Linked DNA regions of Mus musculus: all the other regions are reported to be linked to region 5. The links are microRNA targets in miRTarBase. Many come from high-throughput screens and were not tested one by one. Region 5 holds a microRNA gene; each other region holds the end of a gene's coding sequence.

Evidence for each region. The annotated mature microRNA mmu-miR-30c-5p reads UGUAAACAUCCUACACUCUCAGC and lies in region 5 at 2,298-2,320, opposite strand. An mRNA with a match to its seed (bases 2 to 7 or 8) in the 3' UTR can be bound and repressed. Matches are read on the target gene's strand: a 7mer-m8 pairs with bases 2 to 8, a 7mer-A1 pairs with bases 2 to 7 and ends in A, and an 8mer does both.
Region 1: the mRNA of Reep4 is a reported target of mmu-miR-30c-5p. Seed matches in the 3' UTR shown: 7mer-m8 at 3,594-3,600.
Region 2: miRTarBase lists Mesd as a target of mmu-miR-30c-5p. Seed matches in the 3' UTR shown: 7mer-A1 at 1,581-1,587.
Region 3: the mRNA of Snai1 is a reported target of mmu-miR-30c-5p. Seed matches in the 3' UTR shown: 8mer at 1,217-1,224.
Region 4: miRTarBase lists Mtdh as a target of mmu-miR-30c-5p. Seed matches in the 3' UTR shown: 8mer at 3,851-3,858, 8mer at 3,593-3,600, 7mer-A1 at 3,315-3,321 and 8mer at 2,330-2,337.
Region 6: the mRNA of Ccne2 is a reported target of mmu-miR-30c-5p. Seed matches in the 3' UTR shown: 8mer at 3,267-3,274 and 7mer-m8 at 2,206-2,212.
Region 7: miRTarBase lists Six4 as a target of mmu-miR-30c-5p. Seed matches in the 3' UTR shown: 7mer-m8 at 3,084-3,090 and 7mer-A1 at 1,293-1,299.

The regions. Positions count from the first base shown.
Region 1 is chr14:70,547,904-70,552,434 of GRCm38, reverse strand. It overlaps Reep4 (receptor accessory protein 4), which reads right to left. Exons shown (of 8, transcript NM_180588.2): 6 at 4,360-4,495; 7 at 4,096-4,250; 8 at 3,500-4,005. The coding sequence ends at 3,940. Among named protein-coding and RNA genes, the nearest start is that of Hr, 4.1 kb to the left of the region's middle.
Region 2 is chr7:83,897,093-83,901,541 of GRCm38, reverse strand. It overlaps Mesd (mesoderm development LRP chaperone), which reads right to left. Exons shown (of 3, transcript NM_023403.4): 3 at 1,231-3,792. The coding sequence ends at 3,537. Among named protein-coding and RNA genes, the nearest start is that of Mesd, 7.1 kb to the right of the region's middle.
Region 3 is chr2:167,541,497-167,546,027 of GRCm38, forward strand. Snai1 (snail family zinc finger 1) reads left to right here. Exons shown (of 3, transcript NM_011427.3): 3 at 403-1,318. The coding sequence ends at 587. Among named protein-coding and RNA genes, the nearest start is that of Snai1, 5.6 kb to the left of the region's middle.
Region 4 is chr15:34,140,189-34,144,645 of GRCm38, reverse strand. It overlaps Mtdh (metadherin), which reads right to left. Exons shown (of 12, transcript NM_026002.5): 12 at 1,109-3,954. The coding sequence ends at 3,884. Among named protein-coding and RNA genes, the nearest start is that of Gm38594, 24 kb to the left of the region's middle.
Region 5 is chr1:23,289,503-23,294,033 of GRCm38, reverse strand. It overlaps Mir30c-2 (microRNA 30c-2), which reads right to left and starts at 2,333; the gene lies at 2,250-2,333.
Region 6 is chr4:11,202,194-11,206,621 of GRCm38, reverse strand. It overlaps Ccne2 (cyclin E2), which reads right to left. Exons shown (of 12, transcript NM_001282943.1): 11 at 4,275-4,428; 12 at 1,843-3,637. The coding sequence ends at 3,524. Ints8 (integrator complex subunit 8) reads left to right here. Exons shown (of 27, transcript NM_001159595.1): 27 at 2,039-3,694. The coding sequence ends at 2,155. Among named protein-coding and RNA genes, the nearest start is that of Ccne2, 13 kb to the right of the region's middle.
Region 7 is chr12:73,099,939-73,104,469 of GRCm38, forward strand. Six4 (sine oculis-related homeobox 4) reads right to left here. Exons shown (of 3, transcript NM_011382.3): 3 at 1-4,300. The coding sequence ends at 3,504. Among named protein-coding and RNA genes, the nearest start is that of Six4, 11 kb to the right of the region's middle.

The DNA of each region.
Region 1 (4,531 bases), not on the chromosome of region 5:
ACCCACCCCGACCCCTCACAAACTGACACACATGCTGACACACACTCGTTGCTGACAGGCACAGACTCTCTGACAGCCGGCTGCCCTTTCTCCACCCCAGAGACCCTTACCTGGGCAAGCACAGTACCCCTCAGGCAGAGTAGCCCCCTGCCCAGGGGTGGGCAGCAGGCAGGGCGGGGGAAGGAGCCCCGGAGAGTCAGGCCAAGCTGCCACTAATCCGGGCGGGGAGAGGGGGGGCACCCACGTCAGAGCGGGGACTGCCGGGTGGAGGGCATCTGAGGACATCCCCTCCCACACACGCGGCCGTCTGGGCACCTAGCCCTGCTTCCCCAGCCCCTCCATCCTTCAGACAGCTGAAGCTGGCCTCCCCCTACCCCACCCCCACCCCTGTGGCCATGCTTGGGGTGGGGGGGCATGGGGAAGGGGGATACAGGGCGAAGAAATCTCCCAGGACCAGGGGGAGGGGACAGGGAAGGGAAGTGTGGAGATGCTGCGGGAGCCAGGAGGAAGCTTGGGGTAGATGCTGTCCTTTCTGCTCGCTCGCCCACCCACCCACATCCTTGACCTAATTCCTCTTCTGGAGCCCTTCCTCTCTCTAGCCCTCCCCCACTGCCATCTAGCCTGCGTTGTGTTCCAGGCTGAACTTGGGACCTGTGTGTGCAACGATGCCAGCTCTGCCCCCAGGATCCCCCAACCCTAGGAACCAGCGGTGAAGGTCGCTTGTTAGTGGGCACCAATCTCAGATGCTGGGTGAGAAATGGGGATGTGAACCTGAACAGTTACCCCCTGGAGCTCCTCCAGTGCCTGCCAGGACCCCTAACTCAGCCTGGGCTAGGGCTGCATGTGTGGGACCCAGAGGCTTAGGATGCTGCTGGGAGTGGCAGCTAAAAATAAAGCCACAGGATCCTGTGTGCTGTGACAGAATCCAGAGAAGGGGAAAGTGACCAGGCTAATGAAGGGCCACAGGTCAGAGGGACAGTGATGGAGTCAGAGGCAGAGGGTTAAAAAAGGATGGCAAGAGGTGAAGTGGAGAGAGAAAGGACTGTGAGAGGAAGTCCCGGCTGTCATGGTAACAGGCCAGGAAGAGTAGGAAAAGCTGAGGAGTGGGGGTGGGACCAGAACTCACAGAAGGTATGTGCTAGGGACTGGTCTCTGGTGTCAGGTCCTTTTCCAACCTTGATCCTATCTGGGGAGGAGACCAGGCACACTGGTCTCAAGTAGAAAGTTGGTGGTCCTTGGAAAGTAGGAACAAGACCAGATGCCCTCCCTTTAAGAGGCCAGGCCAGAGCATCAGTGGTGGTCCAGGGCTCTTTTCCAGGGGAGGATAGTGTTGGGTGAAGGTGTGTTTGGGTAGTTCTCAGAGCTGTTCTGAGGGATGTCCAGGTTGCTACCCAGTGCCCCAAGTCTTGGCTCACATTTATGCTTGCCCAGAAATGCCTACCACCTGGACCTTCTACACATTTGTTTTTCTGTGGCCTCAGGATGCTTAGTAACCATGTGATTTTACCCAGCCATTCACCAAGCCATACCAGAGACACTGGTGTTTTGAAAGCTGTGTGGTGGAACTAAGGTGACACGGCACAGCCACCAAAGCAAAAGTTCACTCCCACCCTGAAGAGGTTTAAGATGTTTGATGTATGTGTTGGTTTAGTCACAATCCTCTTTCAGGCTTCGGATGGGTGTCAGGCCTTGAGCTGAGGCTGGGAGCCACAGTTAGAGATATGACCGTGGTGACAAGTGACTCCACGACTTCTAATCCTATGCTGGGGAGTGAGAGAGGCTTCTCAGAGGAAGGGGTGACGTTTCAGTGCAGAAGTTAGACACTAAGCAGGATTTCACCAACAAATCACACAGTTATAAAAATATCACACCTTGGTTCAACCATGTAGTCTGGGATACAACAGTAAAAATAAGGCTGAAGTCTCTCCGTGAGTGGCTAGGCAAGGCAGAGGCATGCGCGCAGAGGGTTCTGAGACAGGTGTATGAGTTGGAGTAGGAGAACAAAGCAGGCCGGGGGAGGGCAGAGGTGGGCTCTGCAGAGCCAGGGCACAGTGGCTTCAGCAGTCCTCCCAGGAGGACCAAGTGACTTTGCCCACCTCTCGGGCAGCACCTCTATAGAGGAGAAAGCCGTTTCACCTGTAAGATGGACAACAGGCCCTTTGCGAAGATTCAAAGAAACCAGCTCTGAAATGCTCAGCACAAGGTCAGGCGAGCAACAAATATCCCACACATGCCAGACTCCTTCTCCCTGCCCCTGCCCCCAGGCAAGGAACAGCCCATTTACTGAATAGTGATTAAGAACATCAACTCTGGAGCCAGACTGCCTGGTCCAAAGCCCAATCCTGCCACTTACTAGCTAGTCCACCTTGGGCAAATCATTTGCCCTTTGTGTGCCTGTTTGGGAAATGGGGATCATAGTAATAGCGGCTACTTCCTTGTCTCCTCACCCCTACAGTTCCTAGCAACACATCTTTTGGGTGAAGTAATGAGGCAGTAAGAGTCAGCATCACATACAGAGGGGATGCCATAGAGAAAAGCCACTGAACCCCAGTCCATGCCAGGCTAAATCAGCCACACAGATTAAGTGCCTTCCCCTCCAATAAAACCCAGATAATCCCTACACCAAGAGTTAATCCTCACAGGACACTCCAATTTAGCAGCTCATAGTTTTCCTCCAACCAGCACTCTTGACTCCGAAGTGGGAAGGAAGGACAGATGGGGTGGGAGGAGGGAGGACCCTGGGTACAACGTGCCTCCTACTTTAGGGGCAGATGACCCAGGGATCAAAGGAGATGGATTAAAGTCAACCCAGGGCAAGCGCCTGGGTCTCTATGGATGGAGAAGGCAAGCATCAGACAAGGGCTATCATTGGCTATCATCATTCCTTTGGCCTGCCCCATCAGCATCCAGGCCCCAGCAGGGTGAGGCGTTGGCTCGTCTCTGAGCCCCGCCCACTTTGACCTGGAAGGTGGGGGCAGCCTGGCCCTAGGCAGCTGCTGCCCTCTTGTGGCTTAGAGTGCAAATTCACCCTAATCGTATCTGAATGTCTACAGGAAGAGTTCACTGAACTGTGGCTCCTCTAGGTTCATGGAAGACCTAGCCTGCCTCCTCAGGTTTGCTCTGTACAGTTTCTATAGGCTCCCCATCTCTTTGCCTCTTCCTGTAAGTACTGATTCCCGACTGACCCTTCAAGATCAGTCTGACTCTTTGTTTTTTGTTTTTTGAGACAGGGTCTCTCTAGTCCTAGCTGATCTGGAACTGGCTATGTAAACCATGCTGGACTCACAGAAATCCTCCTGCCCTCTCCCCCTCAACCATGTTGGAATCAAAGGCTTGTGCCAATACACCAGGCTCTACCCTAACTCCACAAGGATCCCTAGGAGCAACTGTAAGAATACTGCTGCTGGGATGGGGCACAGAGATCTTCCAGCAGTCTCTACACCCTTTGCCAGAGCCTGCAGTGAGTTGTTAGCTACAATATGAGATGTGAAGAGACAAATTAGGAGAGGCCAAACACTGTTTGGTATTTATTTATATAAAAATATTCATAAGCCTGACCTCACTCACCAACACGAAACATGCAGCTAGTGTACGTAAACACACACACACACACACACACACACACACACCAGGCCTTGGAAAAGGCTGTCAAGTATTTTGAAGGACAAGAAGGAATGAACACAGCTGGTTGGACTTTTGGTTTCGTCGGTAGGGACTGGTGGGGCTCTGGTCCCGTGTCTGAGAAAGTAAAAGGCAGAGGAAGGCAATAAATAGGCCCCAGGCCTGGGCTGCTTTGGTATAGTGAATGTCTCCCTGTGCAGGGTACCACGCCATGTGCCATTTAGGCACAAGCCAGACGGAGCAGAACCCCGGTAGCTGGTGTAGCAGCGAAAGGTCCCCTGCTGGCTCCAGAGGTAAGGTGGCCTCAATCTGCAGACTCTAGCTGTCCATGTCTGAGGGCATGGCCTTTTTCCGGGTTCGGACCTTCAGGGAGCGTGAGGTGCCCTTGGGAAGAGAAAGCCAGTATACCTTGAGTGGTGTGGGCACTGCAGCTCCATCCACACCCCCCTCATGCCGTCCTTCCAACACACTTACCTCTCGAGTCAATGGCTTCCTCTTGACCACCCGAAGGCTCTGGCTGCGGCCTAGAGGCTTCTCTCGGGGCCGAACAGGTGGCTGGGGGACGATCTCATTGTCTGACCAACACTCATCCTCTGTGTCACTGCCCTGCAGGCCGCCTGGCCGGTATCCTGCCAAAGAGAGGCCCGCAGGGCAAAGCTGAGCACTTATACAAGCCTAGGGTCACGCCCAGCTTGCCTCTAGTCCTCAGAGAGGTCAGCTCCCCCTCTTTCCACTTACCAATAGGGGGTCTACGTCGGGGTACCTGGTCTTCCAGGTAGAGGGGATCTTGGTAGGTGGGGACAGGGGTGTCAGGGATAGAGCGCAGGTCTTGCATAGAGAAACTCCGCAGCCTTCCAGCTAGAGCGCCTTGACTCTAGGAGGTGAGGGATGGGAGCCGCTGTTAACTCCA
Region 2 (4,449 bases), not on the chromosome of region 5:
ATAAAGATAGGGTTTTGTTTTTTTTTTTTTTTTTTAAAGAGGCTTTGTTTTTAAATTGTTGGAAATGCCACATGTGATGGCCAAGGCTGTCAAGGATCACAGACCTGCTGGGAAGTCTCAAATGACAGAACTATCAGGAGCAGCTATTTAGCAATATATACCAAATGTTAAATTTTAACAATTATACTGTAAACAACTTACCCTTTGAATGGAAAAAAGTTTACCAAAATACTGTATATGAAAATGTCCAGAGAGGCTGGGTAAGATGGGCTTCCTTTTAATCCCAATACCCAAGAGACAGAGGCAGGTGGATCTCCAGTGAGGCTAGCCTGGTCTTCATAGGGTGTTCTAAGCCAAAAGAAAAACCAACATTCAGACCTAGGTCATAGGTTGTTTCTGTTGTTGTTAGTGGTAGTGTTTTGCTTATTTCGTCTCATTTTGAGTGTCTCATGTAATACAATCTGATCTGGAACTTCTGATCTTGCTTCTGCTTCCTCAGTGTTGGGCTTACAGGTAAGTTTGGGTGTTAAAGCACTTTTAGGGATATATAATTTGGGGGAGGGCTACTTTGGAGCATCTTTCAGAAACTTCTGCATACTCATTCCAAAGACTTAACACAGCTCCTCCCACTGCCGCCCCCCCCAAACAAATAAAAGTCCTTTGAAATTCCCTAGGAAATTCAGAGAGGGGGGCTTGCATGAGGTCTGCTCAGAAACGATTTCCAGTGGTGGAGCTCCCAGGAGCCCTGAGGTAGCTTCCCCATGGACAGATGGCTGGCCAAGGAGCAGACTGTCCTCACTTGAAAGAGAGCTAGAAGCCAGTGGTCCCAGGGGACACTGGACTGAAGCAGTTGTGCTGTCCAGATGCCCCTGCAGTTGCTGTAACAGGGGCCGTCCTCCTGAGAACAGGAGACTACAGTGCAATGATGGCAGTGTTAGCCTTCCCTGCTGGTAATTTTATGGAGGAGGCTAAGAGGGCTCCTCTGAAGAAAAGGCCATACACCAAGAATTGTGACTAGTTTCTTTTGCATTTAGTCCTTTTTGTTTTGGGGGTTATTTTGGGGGGGGGGGAGCATGGGGAGCGTGAGTTTCAGACGTAGCTGAGGCTATCCTGCAACTAAGTAACCTGGCCTGGCTGATCCTCCCATCTCTCCCTCCCAAACACTGGGATTACAGGCATTCAACACCATACCTGCTTTTCCTCCTTAGTACCACTATAAGGAATCTGTAGTCTGGGTACAAGTGACTTTAATAGACTTTCATTCTACTTGATTTGACTCATAAAAAGCAGCAGTAGGGCCTCCTGGCTTCTTGTGCTTTAGAAACTCGAACCCAAGAATTTGAAGAAATGTGACAACACGAGGCAGTTTAGGGACTGTCAAAAATCAGGGAGGGTAAATCGATCAATCTGGAGTTCAAATTCTTGAACTGTAATAAAAGGAGGCTTAATGTGCCAATTTCGTTTCTAGTAGCAAATAAGTGTTTGGAGAGGAGAATCTGTTTATCCCAGCTCAGAATACACAGCCAGAAATCAGAAACAGCAGAAAGCATGAACCGAAGGCTGCTTCAAGCCTCTCTGCCTGTAAACCCGAGAGACTGACTAAAGGCCTGAGTCCGGAGAAGCTCTCCTGTCAGTACTACGCAAAATCCCTGAGGCACTCAAAATTCCAACAGCCTCCTAGAGTCCTCACTCCCCAGTCCAGACTCCTCAGGGGCCTCCAAGAGCACCCTTGTCTACTACTTCTAGCCTCAGGGCCTTTGCAAAGGGAACTCCCTTGACCTCCCAACAAAGCTCTGCCCATTCAGTTCACTGCATTATGCATTTCTTCCTTTCTCCTCACAGTCAGTCATTCCTGCCATGCCTGCACTGTCCTCAGAACCCACCAGTGACAACTACATCACAGGTGATGCATGAACCTGGTGAAGAGGCTGCACACCACACTCAAAGCCATGACAGTCCCGTGTCAGCATCATGAAGGCTTCCAGAAGGAAACGGCAGCCCTGAGAAAAGAGCATCATGGCTAGACATGACAGTAGCCAATCAACTGCCCCATGTGAAAACAGAAAAACCCCAGGAACGGGGCTTGTTTCAGATTTGCTGGGCCCACAGATACCAAAAGGATGAGTGCCCTGTCCCAGCTTCTCCTAGATTGGCAGCACCCTCAAACAGGACAGCAGCAGATCATCACAAGTCACAAGGTGCGAGGACCAAAAAAAGCTTCTTTTTGAAGAGGCTCAGCAGGTTGTGTCCAGGACGCCCTGAGCTGGGGAGGGAGGTGTGGCTTGGTAAGAGAAACATGAACGGAAACCAACTGGAGGACAGAATATACCCATCACTGGAGGACAGAATATACCTATCACTGGAAGCTGGTAATTGTACTTTATTTTTGAAAAACCAATGACCAACAGTAGCTTCACTGGGACAAAGTACTGGCAGCAGGGTAGGGCAATTCTTCACACTGTGACACTCTTAACAGTGACAATTTCTAGCCGGGTACGTGTACATGTACTATTTCGAATTTCAAACCACAACTGAGGTTTTAAAAGAATGTGAGTTCTTAAAAATGGCATCCTCATAGAAATGTTCTTTTAGCGAAGCTTCAACCTATGAACAGCAGAAACAGATGTGAACAGCAGCACATCATGAGAGTACCATACAAAAGCACAAGTTTAGGCACTTCATCAAAGGAAACCGCTTAGAAATACTGTAGATGAGGTCCACTCCTATGCAAGACTCTGCTGGTCCCTCCTCGCCAACTTTATAGTTGTTGGGCTATGCAGAACGTGGGCCCTCAGTGGAAGCATCCTTCTTTCCTCACACGATGAACAAGCGCATTCCCTCTTCAACTCCAGGAGACGGGGAGACAAAGATTCCCCAGAACCGATGAGAAGTTCTGGACGGCACTGTCGTGAATCTGCCCACTCTGCATAACGAGTTTGCTGTCCAGATCCTGGGCGCACAGCACTGCTCATACGGCACAGTTATCTTCACTCACTGAACACAGCACTGCTCATACGACACAGTTATCTTCACTCACTGAACACAGCACTGCTCATACGGCACAGTTATCTTCACTCACTGAACACAGCACTGCCCATACGGCACAGTTATCTTCACTCACTGAACAATCAATACCCGCGCTTCAGTCAAGTTGAAGCTTCTCAAGGCTTGTCTGACTTGAGCTTGTAATACACAGATACAACAGGCCATGGGACCACAGCAGGTGCACTGAGGAGGGAGTGGTACTCTGGGGGTGTCATGGACTCAAGAGAAATAAAAGGTACAAAACATCAAGTTTCCAAAGTCAGGTGAAGCCACAGTAGACATGACTTGCCAGTCCACTACCAATCACAAATCCTGCCTTCACATGGGAAGCCTTTTATACGGTAACTGTGATATTGACCAGATGGTCATACACAGACCATTTCTAGAGGACATGAGAATGTCATCTGCTATGCAGTTTCCTGCACCACCTGCCCCACCAGTCTGCGAGGGGCTATCTGGTCCTGCCTACCTGGCGGGAAGCTTGCCACCTGCTAAAGGTCTTCTCTTCTGCTCCCAGCTCGATTGTCTTCCTTGGAAGCACGTGGTTTGGGATCTCCCTCCTTCTTTTTAGCCTTCTCTGGCTTTGTTTTATTTTTCTCCTTGCTTCCTCCTCCTTTGCCAGGATACATCTGTCCCTCTAGAGTGACTTCAGCACACCGGTCTTGACTGACCAAAAAGTCCTTGATCTCCCAGGCATAGCTCCCATCCCGGAGCATGAAGATGGCGCGGTCGGATCCCACGATGAACCTAGCCAGAGAAGCCAGCAGTTAGCAATGTAAGTGAGGTGCCTGGGGTCAGAGAAGGCTGGGAGGCCTACATTTCAATTCCACCCAAATGCTGAACTGTTCTGCCTTGGGCCAAGTGGCTGCTGACTTTAATGTTCACTGAGCTCTAAACAAGCATCCTGCTAAGATCAAGACAGAAGCAGATGCTTGATGGTCCTGAAGCATACATAAATGACGCTGTGAAGAGATTATAAATGACAAACTCCTTAGGGAGCTGCAAGGGACACAGGTGTGCTGCAGAGGTGAGAAATTCCCATTTTTATCTTTAACATGAAATGTCATTTCCATCTATGTCTTATGGTTTGTACTGGCTAGTTTTGTGTCAACTTGACACAGCTGGAGTTATCACAGAGAAAGGAGCTTCAGTTGAGGAAATGCCTCCATGAGATCCAGCTGTAAGGCATTTCCTCAATTAGTGATCAAGGGGGGAGGTCCCCTTGTGGGTGGGACCATCTCTGGGCTGGTAGTCTTGGGTTCTATAAGAGAGCAGGCTGAGCAAGCCAGGGGAAGCAAGCCAGTATGGAACATCCCTCCATGGCCTCTGCATCAGCTCCTGCTTCCTGACCTGCTTGAGTTCCAGTCCTGACTTCCTTGGTGATGAACAGCAGTATGGAAGTGT
Region 3 (4,531 bases), not on the chromosome of region 5:
TCAAGCTTTGTCCCAGACAAAGTAAATCAAAGTAAATTCAAGGCTGGTAATAGGAAGTCCAGTCGCAGCTCCCCTGCCTGAGGCAGTGACTACAACCCGGGCTATGGAGGTATGGTGGGTGACCTAGAGCCTGCTGCGTACCTCTGTGCCTCAGTTTCCCCACCTCTAATAGGACTGCAGAAGGGACAGATGACAGGTCAATCAGAAGTGTTCAGTGCCTGCCAGGTGGGAAGGACTTTGTTTCAGTGAGCCCCGCCTGGAGTTTGGAGACTCAGCAGTCTGGTGGTGTTCAGGGCTGCACAGCAGGAAGCCCAGAGACCCGCATCCAGTGCAGGTCTGGCTGTGCTTGGGCTGACCGGGCCCTGTCCAGGCCTTCCTAACCCTGCTGGTATCTCTCCCCAGGTGAGAAGCCATTCTCCTGCTCCCACTGCAACCGTGCTTTTGCTGACCGCTCCAACCTGCGTGCCCACCTCCAAACCCACTCGGATGTGAAGAGATACCAGTGCCAGGCCTGTGCCCGAACCTTCTCCCGCATGTCCTTGCTCCACAAGCACCAAGAGTCTGGCTGCTCCGGAGGCCCTCGCTGACCCTGCTACCTCCCCATCCTCGCTGGCATCTTCCCGGAGCTCACCCTCCTCCTCACTGCCAGGACTCCTTCCAGCCTTGGTCCGGGGACCTGTGGCGTCCATGTCTGGACCTGGTTCCTGCTTGGCTCTCTTGGTGGCCTTTGCCGCAGGTGGCTGATGGAGTGCCTTTGTACCCGCCCAGAGCCTCCTACCCCTCAGTATTCATGAGGTGTAGCCTCTGGACACAGCTGCTTCGAGCCATAGAACTAAAGCCAACCCACTGGCTGGGAAGCTTGAACCCCGCTCAGGGGACCCCACTTCCCTACCTCCCTCAAGGACCCTTCAGGCCACCTTCTTTGAGGTACAACAGACTATGCAATAGTTCCCCTCCCCCCCACCCCGTCCAGCTGTAACCATGCCTCAGCAGGGTGGTTACTGGACACATGTCCAGGTGCCCCTGGGCCTGGGCAACTGTTTCAGCCCCCGCCCCCATTTGTCCTGGTGACACCTGTTTCACAGCAGTTTAACTGTCTCAGAAGGGACCATGAATAATGGCCATCACTTGTTAGGGGCCAAGTGGGGTGCTTCAGCCTGGCCAATGTGTCTCCCAGAACTATTTTGGGGCCCAACAGGTGGCCCCGGGAGAAAGATGTTTACATTTTAAAGGTATTTATATTGTAAGCAGCATTTTGTATAGTTAATATGTACAGTTTATTGATATTCAATAAAATGGTTAATTTATATACTAAAAAGTGCTCAGTGTTGGGGTGGGGGCACCATAAAGGGACTTCCAGGAGGGAGGGGCAGGGCCTTAAGTCTTGTGCTTTGGAGTTCTAACTAGTCGTGAACTTTGGGGCCTGGGCTGCCTGGCCTGGTATCTGTCCCACTCTGGTACAGTGCAAGCTTCCTGAACTCTTAGTTCTTCGGGCTCTCTTGGGAAGGTGCTTTGTGGGGCTTAGCCACAGCCTGGCCAGGAGCTCTGGCTCCACCATAGCAGGTCTTTGGGGCAGAGCTAGCTGCCCCTCCCAGCTGAAGGGAGGATGTCTTTCCTGTTCCCAAGCGCCTCCCTGTCAGGCAGGCCCACACCTCTGTCTGGCTGCTGGGTACCAAATGGTCTTTGATGCAAGGAAATGGGCTGGCTGGAGCCAGGAGGGTGAGAAGCCAGGCCAAAGGGTAGGGGTCATACAGCTTCCTGCTTGGAGGACCAGGGCTGGAGCAATTTACCTCAGGCTAGTTGGTGCTGGTGACCTCAACTCTGAGGGCCTCCTGGGGCTCGAGAGAAAATGAGTGTCCTTTCTAAGCACAAAAGGTGATGAAGGTGCCAGTTTCCTGTGGGGAGCTGAGCAGGCGTCGGCTGGGAGCTTCAGCCAGCCCAGCTCCAACCCGGCTGGGGGGTGGGGAGCTTCCAGCTCCAAAGGAGAGATGAGTCTTCTAAACAGGAAATGGTGACCCGCAGGCGGGAACAGCCTAATGACTTACAGCTTTCCTCCCAAAAGGAAAAAAAAAAGTCTCTAACAATCGCCAAATTGTGGCAGGCCTCCCTGAAGGGGAGGTTGGTGAGGTGGTATTGGGGGCTGGGCATCAACGAGCTGAAGGCCTACTGTGTCCCCAGGAGGTTCCTCCACATAGGTTGAACAGTGAGTGACTTCACCCCGGGCCTGGAGGGATGGGATGGGCCTCCAGGACCAGACTCAGCGCTGAGGGCCTGGCCCCAGGTCTAGTGCCTAGGACTTGGTCAGCCTGGTTCTGAGCGTGCTGGGAGTCAGGTAGGCCTGGCTCCTGGCCCTGACTCTCACCTCTCGCTGCCAGAAGCAAGCAAGAGTCTCTCTGCTCTCGGCCCCAGTTTCTGCCTCTAGAAATCCGAGGCAACAGTGCCTGTCTCTGGAGAGGCTGTGAGGAAACATTCCTTCAGTCATTCAGTGGGTACTGTGAGCCGGGGTGTGCCAGTCCCTGTGAAGAGTCACTGTGCTCAGGAACTCTGTTCTAGTCGGGGAGACAGAAAACAAACAAGCAATTAAACACACTGCTCGCCTGCAGCAGTGCCAGGATGGAATGAGAGGCCGGGAAGACTTGAGAGCAGCAGGCAGGGTTCCCACCAAGGCATCCAGAGCCCTCGGGAGGGTTGACATTCCAGAGAGGGAGGAGGAGGATGGGAAGGATGGAGGTGGAGGAAGAGGGATGGGAGAATCCTGGGGGAGGGGAAGTAGGCTGTGGGGCTGGGAGAAGCTGTCCTGAGAAAGACCATGTGGCTGGGGGCACTAGAAAGCCAGGAGGAGAGGGAGATCAGGGCCTCTCTGGAACCTCAGCCCAGAATGCAGCCAAGGGGCTTAGAGACAGCAGCTGGGACCAAGGTCCCATAGGCCGCCTGGCAGGGCAGAGACTAGAGCTAGGAGAAGGAATGGAGGTGGCATAGCAGGTGACAAAGGGCTCGGGCCAGGGCTATGGTGGCTGGGTAGTTTACTGCCCACCCAGCCTGGGGCCTTCCTCGCTTCCTTGGGACTGGTCCTGGACCCCAGTAAATGGGAGAGAGGACACAGCTGTCCCAGAAGGAACCTCTCTAAGCCTGGGGCCGAGTAGACAGACAGACAGCCTTCTGTGGGAAGAACTGGGGTGGGGACTGCAAAGGGTTATTCACAGAAATGTGCAGCTTTTGACAACGTGAGGAGAAAAGGCTGTCTCTAGGAGAAGGCAGGCAGCCAAACTAGCCAAGGAGAAGTGAGAGAATCAAGGGTGGAGGCGGGAGGGGAGGCCTTCTTTGAGTTTTAGATTTGTTTGTTTTTGAGACAGGGTCTCCCTATGTAGTTCCAATTGTCCTGGAACAAACGGTAGACCAGGCTGGCCTGGAATTCACTCTGTAGACCAGGCTGGCCTGGAAGGCACAGAGATCCACCTGCCTCCGCCTCCCAAGTGCTGGGATTAAAGCCGTGCGCCAATCAACACTGCCATCATTTATTTTGTTTGTTTGTTTGTTTAAGCATTTTGTTGTTGTTGTTTGTTATTTGTTTTTTGTTTTTTTCGAGATAGGATTTCTCTGTGTAGCCCTGGCTGTCCTGGAACTCACTCTGTAGCCCAGGCTGGCCTCAAACTCAGAAATCTGTCTGCCTCTGCCTCCCAAGTGCTGGGATTAAAGGCATGCGCCAACCAACACGGCCACCGTTTATTTTATTTATTTATTTAAGCATTATCTTTGAAGCAGGCTTTTGTGTAGCTCAGGCTAGCTACAAAGTCTTCATGTAGTAGTGACCCTCCTGCCTCCACCTCCCAAGTGCTGGGATAACAGATGTATACAACTCTGTCTTGTTGTGCTCTTCTGAGGATAGAGCACCAAAACCTTGTGTATTCCAGGCAAAAATCCTACAAATGAAGTTTCAATCTAAGCCAACCCCACCCTTATCCCCTGCTTTGAAGAGAAGGTATCACTTTGTAGACTAGGTTAGCCTCAAAAAAAGGAAAGAGAGAGAGAGAGAGAGAGGGAGAGAGAGAGAGGAGTGTTTGCTTTCTGTGTGAAGGGCTTTGAAGGGCTTATAAGCACTGTGGTTTTTTGTGGTGCTGGAGAGATAGCCCAGACTCTCATATACGCTGGTCAAGTGCTCTATGGCTGACTGCAGAGCTACAGCCCCAGCCTGTGATATTAGTTTTTTTTTTTTTTTTAAGATTTATTTATTTAAGTACACTGTAGCTGTCTTCAGACACCCCAGAAGAGGGCATCGGATCTCATTACGGATGGTTGTGAGCCACCATGTGGTTGCTAGAATTTGAACTCAGGACCTCTGGAAGAGCAGTCAGTGCTCTTTATGTTTTTGTTTGTTTGTTTTTTGAGAAAGGGTTTCTCTGTATAACCCTGGCTGTCCTGGAAATCACTCTGTAGACCAGGCTGGCCTTGAACTCAGAAATCCACCTGCCTCTGCCTCCCGGGTGCTGGGATTAAAGGCGTGCGCCCAATATTAGTATTTTTTAAAAGTACA
Region 4 (4,457 bases), not on the chromosome of region 5:
TTTATGGCTGATGGGACCAAGCACCTTTTGCAAATTAAGTCTCCAGAGTGATGTCTATGAACATTCTCTGGGAAATGCTTTTTCCAAGTGGCTCAGGTGCTGACAAGAATTGTGAAGTGAAAACCATCTGTTTCCAACCAGGAATCAACATAGAAGAATCCTCGCTGCTGTACTGTGTACTAGGCCTGGGTTACATCCCCGACCAGTTATGAGTATGTATTTGTTTGTGCAGGTGTGCATGTGTGTAAACCAGGGATTAACACAGCTGTCCTCTTAGATAACTCTTCATACCTTTATAAAGGCAGGGTCTCTCTGACCTTGTAACTCAACAATTTGATTAGACTGGCTGCCGGCAAGCCTCCCTATTACAGAGATTACATGTTCACACTAATACATCCAGGTTTTCTAAATGTGGGATTTAGTTATCTACCACACTTTAAGGATTGAGCCATCTCCCCCAGATTTATTTTTTAATACTTACAGAAAGTATTTATTTACTTTACAACCTAATACCAGCCCCTCTTCTCCCAGTACCAACTCCTTGCAAGCCCCTGTTGCCCCTAAATGTCCCCCCACTCACATGTTAAGTCGCTGCATCTACCCAGATTTTTATATACAATAGAAGCAAACTATCATAAGTCACTACACTACTGTTTGGCAATGCAGTTAATCTACCACATACCAACTAATGCACGTCAAATTCTAGTTTAATTCCTTTAACCTAAAAAAAAAAAAAGTCATACTTACTAAGATGACTTATGGCTGATTCCCATGGAGGACACTATCATAAGTGCTCATTCTCTTTCTCTTGACCACCCTTCACGCCCCAGACAGGGTCTCACTATGTCCCGGAACTCACAGTGTAGAGACTTTCAGAGATCTGCCTGTCTCTGCCTACTGAGTGCTGGAATTAAAGGAATGTATAACTCTGCCCAGCTGCACATGCTCATTCTCAGAGGTTTGTAACTTTGAATATTTGGTTTGTTGGTGGCAAAGCCTGAAATGATGATTTTAATGAAAGGAAAAGTAAAATCCATGAACCAAAGGCGTGATATCTTATTAGACCACAACAAAAGGACAAAGTCCCTTCCCACAGAGAATGTAACAATTTAAACAAAACAAAAATGGTCTGTTTTATTTACAACACTCAGTGCATCTTACACATGACATATTTTCATTCCCCAAGTCTTTTGAAAGCAATTCCAATTCTAGTTTGTGCAAAGAATTTACAGAAAAACTTTAAAATAGCCATTAGACCTTAAACTTAAATCCTAAATTTTGATATTTCACACTATATTAATAGAGGACTACTTTTAATTAAGAAAAACCAAACGCTGCAATTAATTACTACACTCTGGGATCTTTAACTCAAATACAAACTGGATTAGCCTATGAAATAATACCATTAGATTTGGATAAATTATTCCAACCTCCCATCCCCAATAAAATGCATGCACAAATGAAACATGGTAATTACATCAATGATATTTCAACTTTTATTTTTGGACTCTCTCAACTGTTTGTTTCTCAATTTAGGGTATAGGTATAATGCAGTTGGAGAACTCTGACATGGCCACGCCCTGCTCCACAACAGAAAGGCTTTTCAGAGAGCCTATTTCAGGGAAACAGGTGGCATCAGAGTTTTCTGAGTTGATGACAGAAGCCAGTTCCTCTGTTCAGTGACAAAAAAAAAAAAAAAAAAATCACTGCCCTGCCACACAAAGATCTATAGAGAGGTAAAGAGCAACGATTTTAAGAGAACTGGATTTTGACTCATATACCTGCCTCCTTCTACCGGCGTGGGGGTTGGGGGGGAGGGGGGCCTGGCTCACAAGCCAGCGAGAAGGAAGGCACAGAGGCGACTTCCACACTGACCTACCCAGTGTATCGCTGTGCTTCCACTCCCATAATACACATCTCTTCAAAAAGGTGATATTCTTACTGCTAAGTGTAGTTACCACCTCCTACAAGTGATTGAATCGGGAGATACTGAACCGAAAAATAAAGTTTCTGATTTGACCTAGCCCAGAGAATTATAAGGAAAAGGAACAGTGAGGTAGAGTTGAGAGAGTTCAATTAAACTTGTGAGCACTGACCTTGGCACACTCTGTAATTACAAACCCCTCATTAATCTCTCCTTGAGACATATCTTGGCATCCCCTGAGGGAACACGAAGCTCAAAGCAGCCATCTGAAGGCTCCATTTGTGGCACATCAGCTCTTATTCACCTCAATAGTGAAGCAAATAAAAACAATGCTACCCAGTTCTGAATTTATTTAAACAAGTAAATTAATTTAGAAATTCCATTCAAAGAAAACTTCTGACGACATGTAAACATACTGCCATGTTCTTGAAACAGATGTTAACACCCAATAAAAAAGTTGTTAATCACTTCTGAGGAAAGCTGTCCATTAATAAGGCCAGTCTTCAACAGAACAAAAACCATTTTAGCTTTCCTAGTTGACAATACTATTAAACTACAGTTTAAGGACAGTATTTAATGGATAGATCAGTACCATTGGTTATAGCTTTTAAACAGGTTCATTTCTGGCGCCACATGAAAACAAGCCACTCACATCAATAAATCATGGCTTTTTTTAAAAAAATCACAATTTACTAAAGTGATGTTAATTATGGTCCTTGTCAAACACGTTTGGTAAAGGCTATTTACAGTGTACATGGCCGAGCATGCACTATTAACAGTTACAGAGAGGCCTGCCACTTTCCTAGGGATCACACAGTGCCTGAAAATGGTGACAGATCATACGTCATTCAAATCAACACAGTTTCAAGCAGAAAATGTTCCTTTCTGTTTTTAACCACAATTGCAATAGTTACATGAAAATTCTTATAAAAACACGAATCCCCTTCAAGAAACTGATGCATATTCTACTCACTACAGGAGGTTAAGGCAGTAAAAAAATGTATTCCTGATAACCGGAGGTCTCCACAATATCAATTAAAGCTGTCTGACTACTTTTGCATTCTCCGTCATATGCTCAAAAGTTGCGAATTACTTCATTTTTAAGGTAAAAAAATTACTAGCAACTAAGAGTTGACACTGGAAAATTGCTAGGGAAAGGAAAAACACTAAGTTGGATTTGCCTGAAAACTTTTCAAATCATAAACAAGAGCATTGTTAGTCTCAGTCTTAATGTATCAAACAAATAATATATTTACCTTTCTTAATTTAAAATATACTGTTATTTTGAATAATTCAAGTAATGTTAAGACTATCAAAAATAACTTTGTAAGTCATACAAGTGTCTGTCAATTGCATTTTTTAATGTTTTAATTTAGAACTTTTAAAGAACTGTAAACTAAACCAAGACAGTTTAGTTAAATAAATGATAAATGACCTTTTAATTTGCACTTGTGATTCTTTTAATACAAACTGCTACAACAAATATGTAAAGATATGGCAGATTATACATTTGATCAAAGCACTTTGATTTAAGCATAAAACAGATTCAAATGGTCTAAGGTCGTGCATAAGATCCAAGGACTTGCCTACTGGCCTCACGGCAGCCTTCTCTCTAATCAGAATCCATTCATTATTCCTCAGCTGCAGAGGAGACAGGGCACAGTCTGTTGTAAACAGGTAACTGTTGTAAAACCAGGATAATAGTCTTAAATTACGATCATTCTCGTTCAATTGAAAAGACTCTCCCAAGTGTCTTCCAGCACTGTGTATTCTGTTGACCTCTTTATTTCATAAATTAACTTTCCTTTGATTCCATTTTATGGTGGTTGTGTTCAGTTTTGTTTTAAAAATTGGTTTAAATTTATATAAAACTCTGTACATGTTCACAAATTATTGCATAAACAGCATAATCTTCAAGACAGTGTTTGTAAACACATGTCCAATTCAGGAAAAAAAAATTCACGTTTCCCGTCTGGCCTTTTTCTTCTTTTTTATTTGTTTTGGAGATTCCCAGTTAGTTTCAGACTTGGCTAAATGGGAAAAAAAGGGAAGGAGAAGGTGAGGAGAGAAAAAAAATGTAAGGAGGATAACCAGTATATATCAACAATATAAAAGTAACAACTATGGTGCCAGGTAGTGGTGGTGCATGCCTTTAGTCCCCACACTCGGGAGGCAGGTAGATTAGTTCAAGGCCAGCTTGGTCCATCCACCAAGTTCCAGGACAGATAAGGCTACAAACAGAGACCCTGTCTCAAAACAACAACAAAAAAAATGAAACATAAAACAAAACACCCGCCCCCAAAACCCAAAAAGTAACACTGATGAAAAAACTCTACTAATGTTAACATTTTATTGTTTAATAAGTCTTCCAGTCTTGGATATTTTCAAGTTAGCTATTCTCTGCCTCCCTTCTTTTACAGCCCAGGGTATTAATTGTAACTGCTGACACTGAACTGATGGCAACCTACAGAATCTGCTTTTTCTTTTTCTTTTCTTCCCTCCTGCCTCTTTTTGAGAGGGGACAGCCTTATGT
Region 5 (4,531 bases):
TTGATTAAAGCTTTTTTATTTTTCCAATAGAACACTGATATTTACTCATATTCTTTTAAAGTGTTTACAGCATCGGTAATTATACAAATATGTGAAGATAAAGCTATAAATTTGAACAAAGGTTTCAAAGTAATTAGGTTTACTTGTATAATGACAATGATATTTGCATTTATATAACAGACAGTAAATAAACATACAACTTTTTTATAACTTGTTAACAACCTTTTTTTTTAATTAGATGTTTTCTTCATTTACATTTCAAACTTTCCAAGTTTCCTCTCCAAAAATCCCCTATCCCCTCCCCCCTCCCCCTGCTCCCCAACCCACCCACTCCCACTTTTTGGCCCTGGCATTCCCCCATATGGGGGCATAGAATCTTCGCAAGACCAAGGGCCTCTCCTCCCACGATGGCCGACTAGGCCATCTTCTGCTACATGTGCAGCTAGAGCCACGAGTTCTGGGGATAATGGTTAGTTCATATTGTTGTTCAATATCTTTTCAACAAAGACATGTGACATGTACATAAAATGTATCAAGAAAACACTGACCTCTTAAGCATGTTTACTTATACGAGTTAGCCATGTCACATTCACTATTGTTATTAAGACATATGAGGAAGAAAGTGGTTTATGTCTGCAAGTGTTCTATAGTATTCTGAAATACTAAAATTTATTTGGTATCAAAGAACTGAAAGGGCAAAAATATCACTGAATAAAGCTGGATTATTTTACATAAATACATAGAATACACAGATCTCTCATGACATATTATTTATTTCTAAGTCTCTGCCACATTTCTATACCCAAGAAGTGGCTCAGTCGATAAATATTTGTTTAATAATACACTTAATTTCATACTTTTCAGTAAGTGTTGAAGAGCTAAAACTCAATGCCAGTTTTGATATGGAATATCCAGGTGTCTTTCTTGTTAATTTCTCAATAAAAAGCAGTGAGAGCACATGTGGTGTCGGACTCCACCTACTTCCAGCAGAGCTGTCCTTGTCCAGAGCAGCCTGTATCCCTGGCAGAAAGTGCAAGTTCAATCAATAGTAACTGTTCTTTTCAGGAGAATATAGAGCATTGTCTTGAAGGTTTCTTTAAGCCTGAAGGCAAATCTAGAAAGGTTAATGACTCATCCAAGCTGAGTTGCTCAGCTAGTACTTCAACAGTATCTTTATCTGATATAAAACCAGTTTGTCCAAATACTTTCTTGAACTCACATGCTGAACTCACTGTATTTATATATATATTTTTTAAACTAGACCTACATGCTATCTTATATGCTACATTTGGAGCTCTGAAGAAACAAAATGCTTCTCTAATATACTTAAGGCAATATAATGTCTTTTGGTTTAAATGACTGAGGCATGCTAGTATGCCAAGTTTGTATATGTGTATATATATATATAATTTAATATATGCATTAAGTATTTTAATATCCTAAGAGTTTGTTGTGTAAGAATATACTTTTATCTTCAGTATCTCTGAAAAGAAGACGTTTGATATTGATTAAAACAATATCTAATTGTTGGGGTTGGAGATGTAGGTTAGTGGTAGATGCTTGTTAGATTGCCCAATGCAAAAAGAACTCACATTTTGCACAACCCCAAATTCTAGATGAGGTGTTCAAAAAACATTTAATATAGATGATTTACTGTAAAAAGAAAAAAGTTGAACTTGGAAGGTAGTACCATAGATTTTGCTTAAAATTCTCTTCATGTATATCCCCCAACTGCACCAAACAATCCCACCTTAAATAGCAAGTTTTTGTCATATAAGGATTTAAACTGCATCTCATCCCTGGTAAAGTAACAAGTCCCAGACACCATCAAAATACAAACACAGTATATAAAATGCTAGCCAAGTTAATAGAAAAATTGGTGAGCTAAAATGCAGGCATTTAGTGTATTATTGGCTTCATATAACAGGCTACCACAGCAATCTATGAAATAATAGTCTCATACAAACTTTTTATGAGACAGCTTTCTTGATGTAGCCCAGAATCTTACATGGTAACCCAACCTGGTTTAAACTAGTCAACAGTCTCAGTCTCCTGAGTAGTGGGATTATAGGCACACACCACCATACTTGGTCTTCTTAAACAGTTAAAAATAACCAATCTCCCAAAGTGTCTTGTACTTCTTAGCACAGATTAGCTCACCCTTTTACCTTTTAGAGTTGACCGCATAACAGATCTTTGATAGGATCACCTATAGGCCATCTAAAATTCATTTCTCTTAGCTGATTTCCAAGGCAGAGAGAGTAAACAGCCTTCTCCCAGCTTTCTTACTTTTCACAGCTGAGAGTGTAGGATGTTTACAATATCTGTCACTCAGTGCTCTCTAGAGCAGGTTGGCGGTGAGCAGCACAAGCATCAGGATGCCGTGGAACATCTGGAGATCCCGTGACGTGTTAGAACAGGGGCTAGAAAACAGAGTGTACTTGGGACTAAATTTCAGCTTCTAGGTCTGGAGCCGGTAAGAAGGCTGCAGGATGCTTACCTTCTTGATGCCTAATCAATTTCTGTTTTGCACATGCCAGGATTCTCCTGGGATTTCCTGGTTTGGCCCTAATACCCAGGCATTTCTATGCTTTCCCAAAATGGTCTGAGGAATTTCCTTTCGAATTACTACCCTGCTCTCTAACTTTAGGAAAACAAGTCTACCTTCTCGCTGTCTCAGCTATATGATTTTTGTTCTGCTTCACTCCTAACAGAACTGAGAACAACTGTTCAATTATATCTGCAGACATAAGACTATACAAAAGTTTAATCACTGACAGCCATTTATCTTATTGGTGGGTTATGAAGTCATAAATCAATCCAATGAGCAGAGTAAACATGTTGGTTGGGATATAAAATAATGCATTAAGCTGGTACACTAAATATAGCATAATCTTAGAAAATTTAAAATGTTGTATGTGGAAAGAAATATATAACTGGAGGCATACACATAAATGGAGCCAGTCAATTCCTAAGTTCTTTTCTGATAATGAATGATTCAAACAGTTCCTGGAATAGAGTTGATTTACTAAATTGATCTATTGGATAGCAAAGAAGAAAGTCATCGCTTATATAAAACATTACAAAACAAGCCTACATGATGAGACTACCACCTGTGAACCAGTGTGAACACAAATCACTCATTCATGCATTAGATAAACATTTGTATGTACTTGCCACATACCAGCAGTGATGTAAAATGCTGGGTAAGGAGAAATGAATACTACCAATCTCAATCCTCAAAACAACCTAATCTGCAGGATAGATGCATCAATCGTAGTGTAGGAGGTACTGCAGTAGTGGGTCAAGAATCAGCCCTAAAATAAATGGTAATTGAGACTAACTAGTCCCATACTGTCTCAAATCTCAAATCTAGCATCTCTCTTCCAAAGCAGCCTCCACTGATCTCTGGTAAAATCTGGGCCCTGTCACCCCATAGGAACTACCTATTCTGTCCTTTCTCCATCATTATGTCTTGAATGTTTATCTATAACCAACTCATAGTTCATTGTTGTTAGTATTGCTATTTCCTATCTCTCTATAAAACCAAGTTTCCTGGGAAGTTTAGTTTAGTTTTACTCAATTTCATTCTATTTGATGAAAATCCATAACATGGAACCAGGGTTTATTGGGTATAAACAGTATTTAAAGAATAAATATATGAATGATGCTATCTAATATCTGGCAATCTAATCACTTCAAGAATATAAATTTCTTAAAACAAGAAGAAAAGGAACAACCATTCCAGAAACAGTCTTTGTAATTGCCTAGTAATTCAAAGTACAGCTGCTATACTTTTCTATGGCATTCATGGCTAGGAGGAGAAGTGATTACATTAGCCAACCTTTTCTTAAGTGACAGCAAGATCTTAGGGAAAGTTAACCCTCCCTGAGAACCACCTGATTTTTAAATTTTATTTCTCTGATGGATTCCAAATAAAGAAAAGTCAGGGTGAAAAATAACTTCAGAGACATCCATGTAAACAGTTTAAAAATGGACAGGAATGAAAGGAAACTGCCTTAATCACAATCATTTAAGGATTTAAACTGTCAAACAGTCTGTAAGAACTAAACATAATCTTGAACATAACTTTAGTTCTGGTCTTTAAGCATCACCAAAGCTTCCTGGAAAAGAAAACTTGGTCATTTTCAGTTCTAAATAATAATAATAATAATAATAATAATAAAGCCCCCGAAGTGTGTATCTGAGCCCAGTGGCAGTTGGTAAGGCTCTGTATTTAAATCACCTCACCACTTTCCTCCACCCTACCCTGTGCCAACAACTAGATTGAGGTTTTTAAGCTATAAACCTGGCATACTGTCTCCCCCCCATAAAATCATTTTTTTTGGCCATTACCTGATTTTTAAAATCCCTAGAACACACTACATCTAACATTTCAAGATATATACTAGTCTTTCCTAATCCTCATTTAAAAAACCCCAAATGTACCAGAATTAAAGTAATTATAAACAATACAGAGACAACCATGGTTAACCCTTTGAAGCTTGACTTATCTTGTATACCAGGACTT
Region 6 (4,428 bases), not on the chromosome of region 5:
GATACTTTTATTTTTTGAGACAGGGTCTTACTATGTAGCCCTAGCCATCCTAGAACTCATATAGACCAGGCTGGCCTCAAAGGCAGAGATCATCTGTCTCTGCCTCCTAAATGCTAGTATTAAAGATGTGCACCACCATACGTGGCTCGCCCCTATATTATTTCTAAAACCCTTTCTCCTTTAAAGGTTCTAACTACATATCCTTACTGTCTCATTTGACTCCTGGTTCTTCTACCTGCAGATCAGGTTATCCTTTACCCCTCACACTTAGAGGCCTCTCAGCCACAGTTCTACTCACTACCTTTACATTGATCTTATTGTCAAGTGTGCTTTCTGTCTTATTACTATAACTCATTATGCCCATAGCCTTGTCTGACTTTCTTGCTTCTGTGTTTGTCAAAATTAGGTTTGTGACCTCCCCCTCCACCATCAGTCAGCCCCTTCTTTCCACCCTTCCCTACTCAACCATAAGTCCAGCAAGTACAGTCTGCTCAGCATCAACAGACAAGCTTTTAAATTCATTTCTTAAGCTTTCTAGGTTATCTGATAATGAGCCAAGTATGGTAGTCAAACTGGTTGACTGACTGTTAGAACTTTTAGATATGGATTTTGTGTCTTTCTTTACTTCTTGGAAAAGCCCTGATTGTTTTAAAAAGTCATAACCATACAGTCTTGCCACTACCAAACCATTGTTACCCATTTCCTCAGCTTCTTTCATTGTTTATCTTAGTAGCCTCAACAGTCTTTGAAAGTCTGTTATTTTAGACTTTTCCTGTTAAATCCCTAGTTTGTACATTTTCCATTTTGAATGATTTCCTTGGCTCTTCTTGGGATAGATTAGAAAAAAAGACAACCTACTGGCTTTATGGGAATTAGTCTTAACCATTGTGGACTTAGGAATGCCAACTGGTTTCTAGTTACTGTTCACCTTGAAGGTCATTTGTATTTGTATGCATTAAGCCCACTCTTCACATGGTAACTTGATGAAGGCAAGTTTTGCTGTTCCATTCCCACTGGCATTTTAACTAATTTCTGCAGTTGGTAACCTATTTTATCCTTAATGTCAGTCCTTTGACTATGCTTTATCTCTGGCCAGTTCTGATCCCTCTGCCTAGGTTTTTAAAATTTCCCACTCTATACATTTAAATATTGCCACGACTATGTTTTAATTGCCCTTTCAAGAGTTAACAGATACAAAAGCCAGTAAATACTTTCAATCCTCCTCCTCCTGTTTACCTGTGGCTTCTTTCATTAGATCATTGATCTTTCTATTCATCAACCCCACCCCCAACTATAGCTCTATGCTTTCATGTAGTTATCTCCTGCTTATTCTTAAATTTCATCCTCTAGGTAGGTAGTCCTTGGGCCTTCCTTTGCTCTTTCTTAGTTTCGGTCACAGAGCTAGAGACAGATCCATGGCCTCATACATGTTAATGAAGTGCTCCATCACAGGGCTGTTCACTCAGCCCACTGTTCCTTATCAATCCTGTCACGATTTTTATAGCACCCACACGGATGAGGTGTATGATTTCTCTCAAATACCTGTGCTTCTCTACCAATTATCTGAGATGCCATGGCTTGTTTAAGGTATTACCACCCCACCACCAGCCTTTGCCCATATGCATTCCTTGATCCAGAAAGTTCTAGTCTAATTATAGCTTTAAAATTTCGGTCAGAGACAGACAGTTAAAACACAAAACTAGATTTTTAACTTAGTAGGTCATGGTGTTTCTAATTACTTCTGAGAACATAGCTACTTTGCCCGTTTATGAAACATGACTTGTGATTTCTTTCAAACTTTAACTATAAAGATGTTGTTACTAAAGACAACCATCTTATATACAATCACATAAGCATACAGAAATTTATTTAGTGTAACTAAATGTCCCTCCAGGTAACCATACTAAAAGTGGATCAATGTGATGCCATTTTTTTCTGTAGTTTTTAATTTGATTTAGTTAACTTTAACTTTGAGTTATGTGTACTACTGTGACAATTTTTTTCAGTCAAACTTCTAATAACACTTTTCTGTTTTAAGATCAAAGCCATTGGCCAAACAGAATTGAATGCAAGCAACCCTGAAGAAGTATTACAGCTGGCAGCACAGAGAAGGAAAAAGAAGTTTCTACAAGCAATGGCAAAACTTTACTTTTAAGCAGTTAGTTAATTTTTTTTCAATTTTATTTTTTAAACAGTGGGCTAAAAGTAAACAGTATTAAAAGATTAAGTTTATATAATACATATGTACAATTTAGTGGTGTTTTCTTTTTAGACCAAAACAAACTGAAACAAATTAGTTTATAAACAAATTATACAAAAACTTCATATCTTAACAATAGTTTATAATTTCTTCAAAGAGAGACAAGGTTCATGCCTGGTACCATTTTTTTTCTAATGAAATTAACTTTTTTAGGCCCAAATTTCCTTTTCAAAGGCTAACTTAAAATATTTAATGTATAAGTAGCTATTCTATATACAGCAAGTTTAAATAAATAAATTTCTAGGAGTAAGTATACATTTAATATTTTCTGCCATAAGAAAATAGTTTAGGTCATATGTTAAAGTTTTTTCATGTTGACACAGTCCTCATCTCATAATATGGGGCTTAAAAATGGACCACCAGTTTTGCAAACATAAAGCGCCTTAGAGATATCTTAGTGTGCAATAAAGTGACTTTCTTATATAGTTTGAAAAAGTGTTTAATTTTACCCAAATTGTGATACACAAAAAGATTATAAAGCAACCTTTCTATCAAGTAAAACCCCCGAGTAGAAGAAGCCAAAGCATTTATATCTTGTTTATAATTTCTTTGGTTCTCCCATTTAGAGCACAGTTTAAACATTTGGTTCAGTGCCTTACTGATTAAGAAATATGGCAAGGCAGACAAACTAGTTCAAAACAGATTGAACTTTACCATTCATAAAATTCAAGTTTTATCGTTTGTTACAAACTGCTTTAGATAAATTAGTCACTTTATTACAAAACAACCTTTGTAAATAAGCTTAAAATTTATTTTCAAAAACAAATTGCACCATTCAAGAGTATAGGAATTTAAGAATATAAAATCTAGATTCAAAGTTCTGTGTCAGCTAATGTATCCTTTAAGGTAGCACTAGTTTAGTCCATATTCCAATGATAAAATTCCTAGTTCATCAAAAGAAATACAGTAACACTGAATTTTAAAGAAACACAGTAACAAACAGAAACAACTGCTATAGCTTAAATTGTTGGCTTCCATCCACTATCCTTGGGAGTGAAGTCACCTTTGTAAACAAGTTCTCTTTTATAGGAAATACTTCTTTAGTGCCAATTTTTTGAAGTTTTTGTTTTGTTTCCTTTTGTAGTGCTGGGGATTGAACCCAGGATTTTGTGCATCCTAGGCATTTAGTGCCAAATTGATATAGTTTTTAAGTAAAAGAATGGCAGTGTAACTCCTTAGACAAGGATAGTTACAGCACTACTTTTCTGTAAAACTCATTTATATGAAACTATCCATTATTTGTTCAATTCCAGGTTGTTAACTTCAGTGTTTTCCTGGTGGTTTTTCAGTACTCTTTGGTGGTGTCATAATGCCTCCATTACACACTGGTGACAGCTGCCCTCCTTTTCTGTAGATGTTCACATAGTTTACTTCATTCTGTACATGTGAAGAAATTATTCAGTAATTAACAGTTAAGATAAACTAAGTATGTAGTAATACCAGACCTCTACCAATTTTTTCTATCCAAACTTAATTTTAGAGTCTCTATCTTTGTTGGGGGCTGGGGGGTGGTACATACCTTTAATCTTAGCACTTGAGAGGCAGAGGGATCCCCGAGTTAGAGATCAGCCTTGTTTATTTCAACAAAACTTTCTAATTTCTTATCTGGGCTGCTGGTCTTGATTTTAAGCTGCTTAACAGTAATATTTTTCTTGAGATAGGGTCTTACTATGTGGCCTGGGAACTTATGATCCTCCTGCCTCAGCCTCCCTAGTACTAGTTAGTGTGCATCCTAGGCCCTTATCATCAAGTCTGCCTTAATTTAGTTATCTCCCTTATATTTTAAGTCAACATGGTCATTACTTTCCCATTTATCATCTTAAATAACTGTCTTAAGTAGTAATGCACAGTAGTTTCAGACCTTAGATAAACTTTGCTAACTTCTACCCCATTAGTTTCAGGACTTAACTAAATAGCACGATTTTTAAAAACAATGAAAGATAAGGCAGCAAAAAAAAAAAAAAAAAAAAAAAAAAACAACCTCCCATAAAACACATAAAACAAAAAACCATACCAGCAAAGCCAAATAATTTGTGTGTGTCTGGATATTGTGTCTATCTTCCATGGGTATCTTCTTAAAAGTCTTCAGCTTCACTGGACTCACACTTTTTACAACACTAACAAAAGGCACCATCCAGTCTACACATTCCGAGATGTCATCCCATTCC
Region 7 (4,531 bases), not on the chromosome of region 5:
CACTTTTTTTTTTTTTTGAGAAACCCTGAAAACCCAAAGAGTCACATGCGATATAATTTGGATTAATAAAACATATGGTGGTAATATCTAATTAAATCGAAATGTCTCGATTAGACACAAAATAACCATTAGGGTCTATCATCCAAGTTTTAGGAAGACTTTGAAACTGCTCTTGTAAAACATAGTGACTTTTCCCCAGACTTCCTGAATTATTTTTATGAGATGATCTGTCAAAAACACTTGAGAAAAGAGGACTCGAGTTTATGCACTAATGTTCACATATTGAGGATGTAGCAGGGTAGTCTGCCATACACGCCCAAGAATTCCAGCTTTAACATGCAGAATAACAAGGGTACATACAGAGAGTTAAGGTCAGTGTGCAATTCAACTATGGATTTAAAAAACAGACCTATGGCTACAACATCTACTTGCCTTTCACAACACAAGAAAGGCACCAGACATGTATTAAGTCTTCACTATAAATCTACATGAGATATTTATACAGTACAACACAGGGGCCTTTGTTTGTTTTGGGGGGGGAGGGAATGAACCTCCTTTGAATGCTAGAGACCATTCTCTCTACTAGACGTAACTAAGAGCTGAGTGCCAATTCTGGCTATAGAGTGCATAGATAGGCTGGCACCAGAAAACCCCACAGCCAGCAGCAGGGGTGGGATTTAAAGGGGGTTATTTACCTCTATTCTGATTCCTCATCAGGAATCACTAGAGGATCCTTTGCAGCATCTTCAAGCATTGGTTTATGTAAGAAGGATATTCTGCCACGTGAACTCCAAGGGCTCCGAGGCTGGGCCCTTGGTGTTGGGGAAAAAAGTCATTTGCAATTCTGTGCAAGGAGATCACGGGGTTTACCATATTCCATTCACACATACATGGGCTGCATATCAACTGGCCCTTATTTTACTGAAAGAATAGACTAGAACAGTAAGTTCTCATAATGAGCACTGAGTCTTACCGGGTGGATTGTATAGATACCTGGGGTGTTTGTAGGGCTAGAAGCTCATCATGTTGGAATATGAAGACATTTCCTAGGTAAGTACTTAGTTTTGTGCTATCTTTTCTTTCTCATAAGGAGAAAAGGAGGAAGAACTCGGAATAAAAAAGATACTTTTGTCAGATATATGGGAGTTTTCCATCACACGCACGCAGACACCCACACACACCCGCCTTATAGAACGTTTTGACTTTCCCACTTCCCTTACCAGACAGGTATTTTAAAATAATGTCCTCTTGATATCTGCAGCAATCTAGTAAAAAATAACATTTTTTAAAAATGTAAACTATACTACAAGACCAGGATGCTAATCACATTAATATGATCAGTAAATAACTGGGAGACGGGGGCAGCCAAGCTGTGTAAGTAGTGTCAGAGTGGAAAACCACACTGAAGCAACTGGCTTCATGAAAATAAAACAAGAACATCCAAAACAAACAAACAACAACCTCTGGCCCAAATTGCATATTTCAGCAATTGAGGGACATTCACCAATTTCACAAAAATGGGATTTAGGTTCTTGATCAAAATGATGGGCACAGAATTCTTCATAGGGCTCTTAATCTTGACTGAAAGTTCCCTTGTGTAACAACAAATGTTAAGTCCCCAGTGACCGTTACTCTGCAGGCTCAGCTGATGAGTGTGTTAGTTAGAAACCCTTCCACCACCTTAACAAAACCAAGGAGTGGTACTATCTTTGTGCTTAGCAACTGAGAAGTCACCTTAGAAAAAGTCGCCTTCTTTCTGAAATCAGAGATGCCCTGGACTAACAGCATAAAGGCATTGCATTGTTATATCATAGATGCAGAGTCCTACTAAAACTTTTAAACAAAATTTCCCACAGAAACCGGAAGGATTTACTTCATTAAATACGACAGGCAACAGTCATGTATACCGACCAATTCAAAACACTGGAAATGAGCTTCAGTTGAACAGATTTTTAGTACAATTTACATATATATTTTTTATTTTAAGTGGTTGTTGTCAAGCTGGGTAGTGGTGGCCCATGCCTTGAATCCCGGTACTTGGAAGGCAGAGGCAGGTGAATCTCTGTGAGTTCAAGGCCAGCCTGGTCTACAGAGTGAGTTCCAGGATGGTCAGTAACAGTTTCTCTGTTTAACAGAGAAACCCTGTCTCAAGAAAACTAAAACCAAAACAGAATTAAAAAAAAAAAGGTTGTTTTCATAGTCATAGCCTGCAGAACTGCTGTTTCATGGTCTTTCTATACTTTTCTACTTTCATTATAATGAAAAGCATCGACTATATCTGTCTATCCATGTGCATGGCAAACCTTCCACATGATATTTAGTGAAACGGAAGTCCTGCCTTATGCAGGGGTTCTGTGGTAAACTTAACCCTGTTTGACGGTACAAAAGAACCATCAACACTGCTGTTGACACTTCTGTACCTGACTAGTAATAAAAAGGCCACAAGGTAAAAAGGCACATAGGAGTCTATAGAAAACATATTTAAATGAATCAAAGTTGTTAAAGTAAGAAGGATGTGATGAGAAGTGACAAAGTTCCAGTACTGGGGGTTAACAGTTCCTGTTTCAGTGTTAATTAATATTGACCTCAATAGACTCTTGATAACAATTACAAAAAAAAAAACCAAAAACAAAAAAAAACAAAAACAAAAAAAAAACCTTGGTTGGAAACAAAGATGTCCTATTCCCGCTCAAACAATAAATATAAATTAAACAGTAAGAAGACATTTTCTTTTCAGTTCACAGAGCCTGAAGGGAGACATACAAGGTATAAATAAAAACTCACTGTACTTACTCAGATCTTGCTTAGAGACCTGTATTTACATTCGTACCCAAGTTGTGTCAGAGTTTAGTGGCGTCTCAAACTTACTCTGCCACGTTTGACTATTAGCAATCACATTTGGAAACACGTAGAGACTTAAAACCAAGCCTTTCCCCCAAATGCTGAAAACGATGAATGTGTGTATGTACACACACACACACACACACACACACACACACAAGCTACATAATTTGAAAAATATACCCTTATGATAGTCTAGAGTACCATTGTTTCTTAACCATCTCAATGCCCATGGAGTAAAAGTAAACAAACAAACAAACAAACAAAAAACCAACTGCATCGCTTCCAAGAGCCTGGAGCTATTATTTAATCTCCTAAATTAGGTGTATGCATTTTAAATCTGAAATACTGTCACCTTCCATTTCGCCTGTGGAGTTATACTGCTGACTAAATGATAGACGATGGTTAGATGGATGCATTCACTGTTGCCTCGCCCCATCTGTTTCAAAGCGAGCACGATGTGACCAGAGGGGCTTCGGCAGTGCAGGTCCACTCCTGTGTATTTAACTACGCTCTTCATGCAGCCCAAGCCAGATGCGCTTGCTTGCAGAAGTACAGTGTTTTCCTCTAAATGAATAGAAGCTCTCCATCCTCGGGGCTTCGCAAAGAAAAGGATTTGCTCCTGTTAAAGCAGAGAAGGAGGGATGTGGAGTGAATCGGGCTTATAAGTCTTGCATGTCTTCATCCAACTGGACGGTTTGGAGCTTGGCCAGCTCTTTTTTGTCCGTTCCCAGGTCTTCACAGCCGGCTTCAACCATGCCGTCCAGGACGTACTTGGATTTCGAGTCTAACATCATTAAGTTGTTTGTTGCTTTGTTCTCAGAATTTTGTAAGAAATTCTCTTTTATGTTAGGGACTGACTGCAGAACCAAGCGCTGTTCTCTGACAAAATCCTGGTGGACTGCTGTTGAGGCGTGGCTCACCTGCTCTTCAGCTGTGGGTACGATCTCACCCAGGGCAGCCTGGGTCATCGGGCCGGACAATAGGTCTTGCCCCGGAATAAGGGAACAGTTCTGAAGGGTTGCATAGTTAGTGTTGCTGACAGATGACACAGTACATTTGCTTGCCACAGGTGCAGACACGGGCTGGCTCTCGGCAAGGTCAGGGTTGAGCTCAGTGGGATTAAGTAGTGTAGGGGGGGTCAGGGAAAAACCGTGGGCGGCGGACACATTAACCAACGACGAGGTCAGAGGATGGAGGCCACTCCCAGAGAGATTTTCCGAAGACAGGCTTGCATTTACTTGTGCACTGTGATTGACAGGCATCAACTGAGAAAAGACCAGGCCTCTTTCTAAGCCTTCCTGTTTCACAGCTCCTACAGTCTGGCCTGAATTAGGAACGGTGTATACCACTGCACTGGGGGTAAGAGGGCTCAGGAAAAGTTTACCGTGCTGGACTGTGGCTGGCTCACTTGTAAATGTGCTTCCGTCCGAAGTGCTTGGGGTAACTGAAAGATTACCTAGGGGGAAGAGGACCAATTAGCATTGATGAAAATGATACAGAAAGAAAAACAAACACACAGTCACTCCTTTAGCACACACGATTTTTCCTCAGGTATAGTATTTATGGAGAGGTGACACTTAAATATGTAATGTAGTTCAGCTTCAGTATGGTAAACTGCAGAGTCCCAGGCTGAGGACGCAGGCCGACTAACTTTCTCTAGATACATTTTGTATTTCTTTTTGCACTG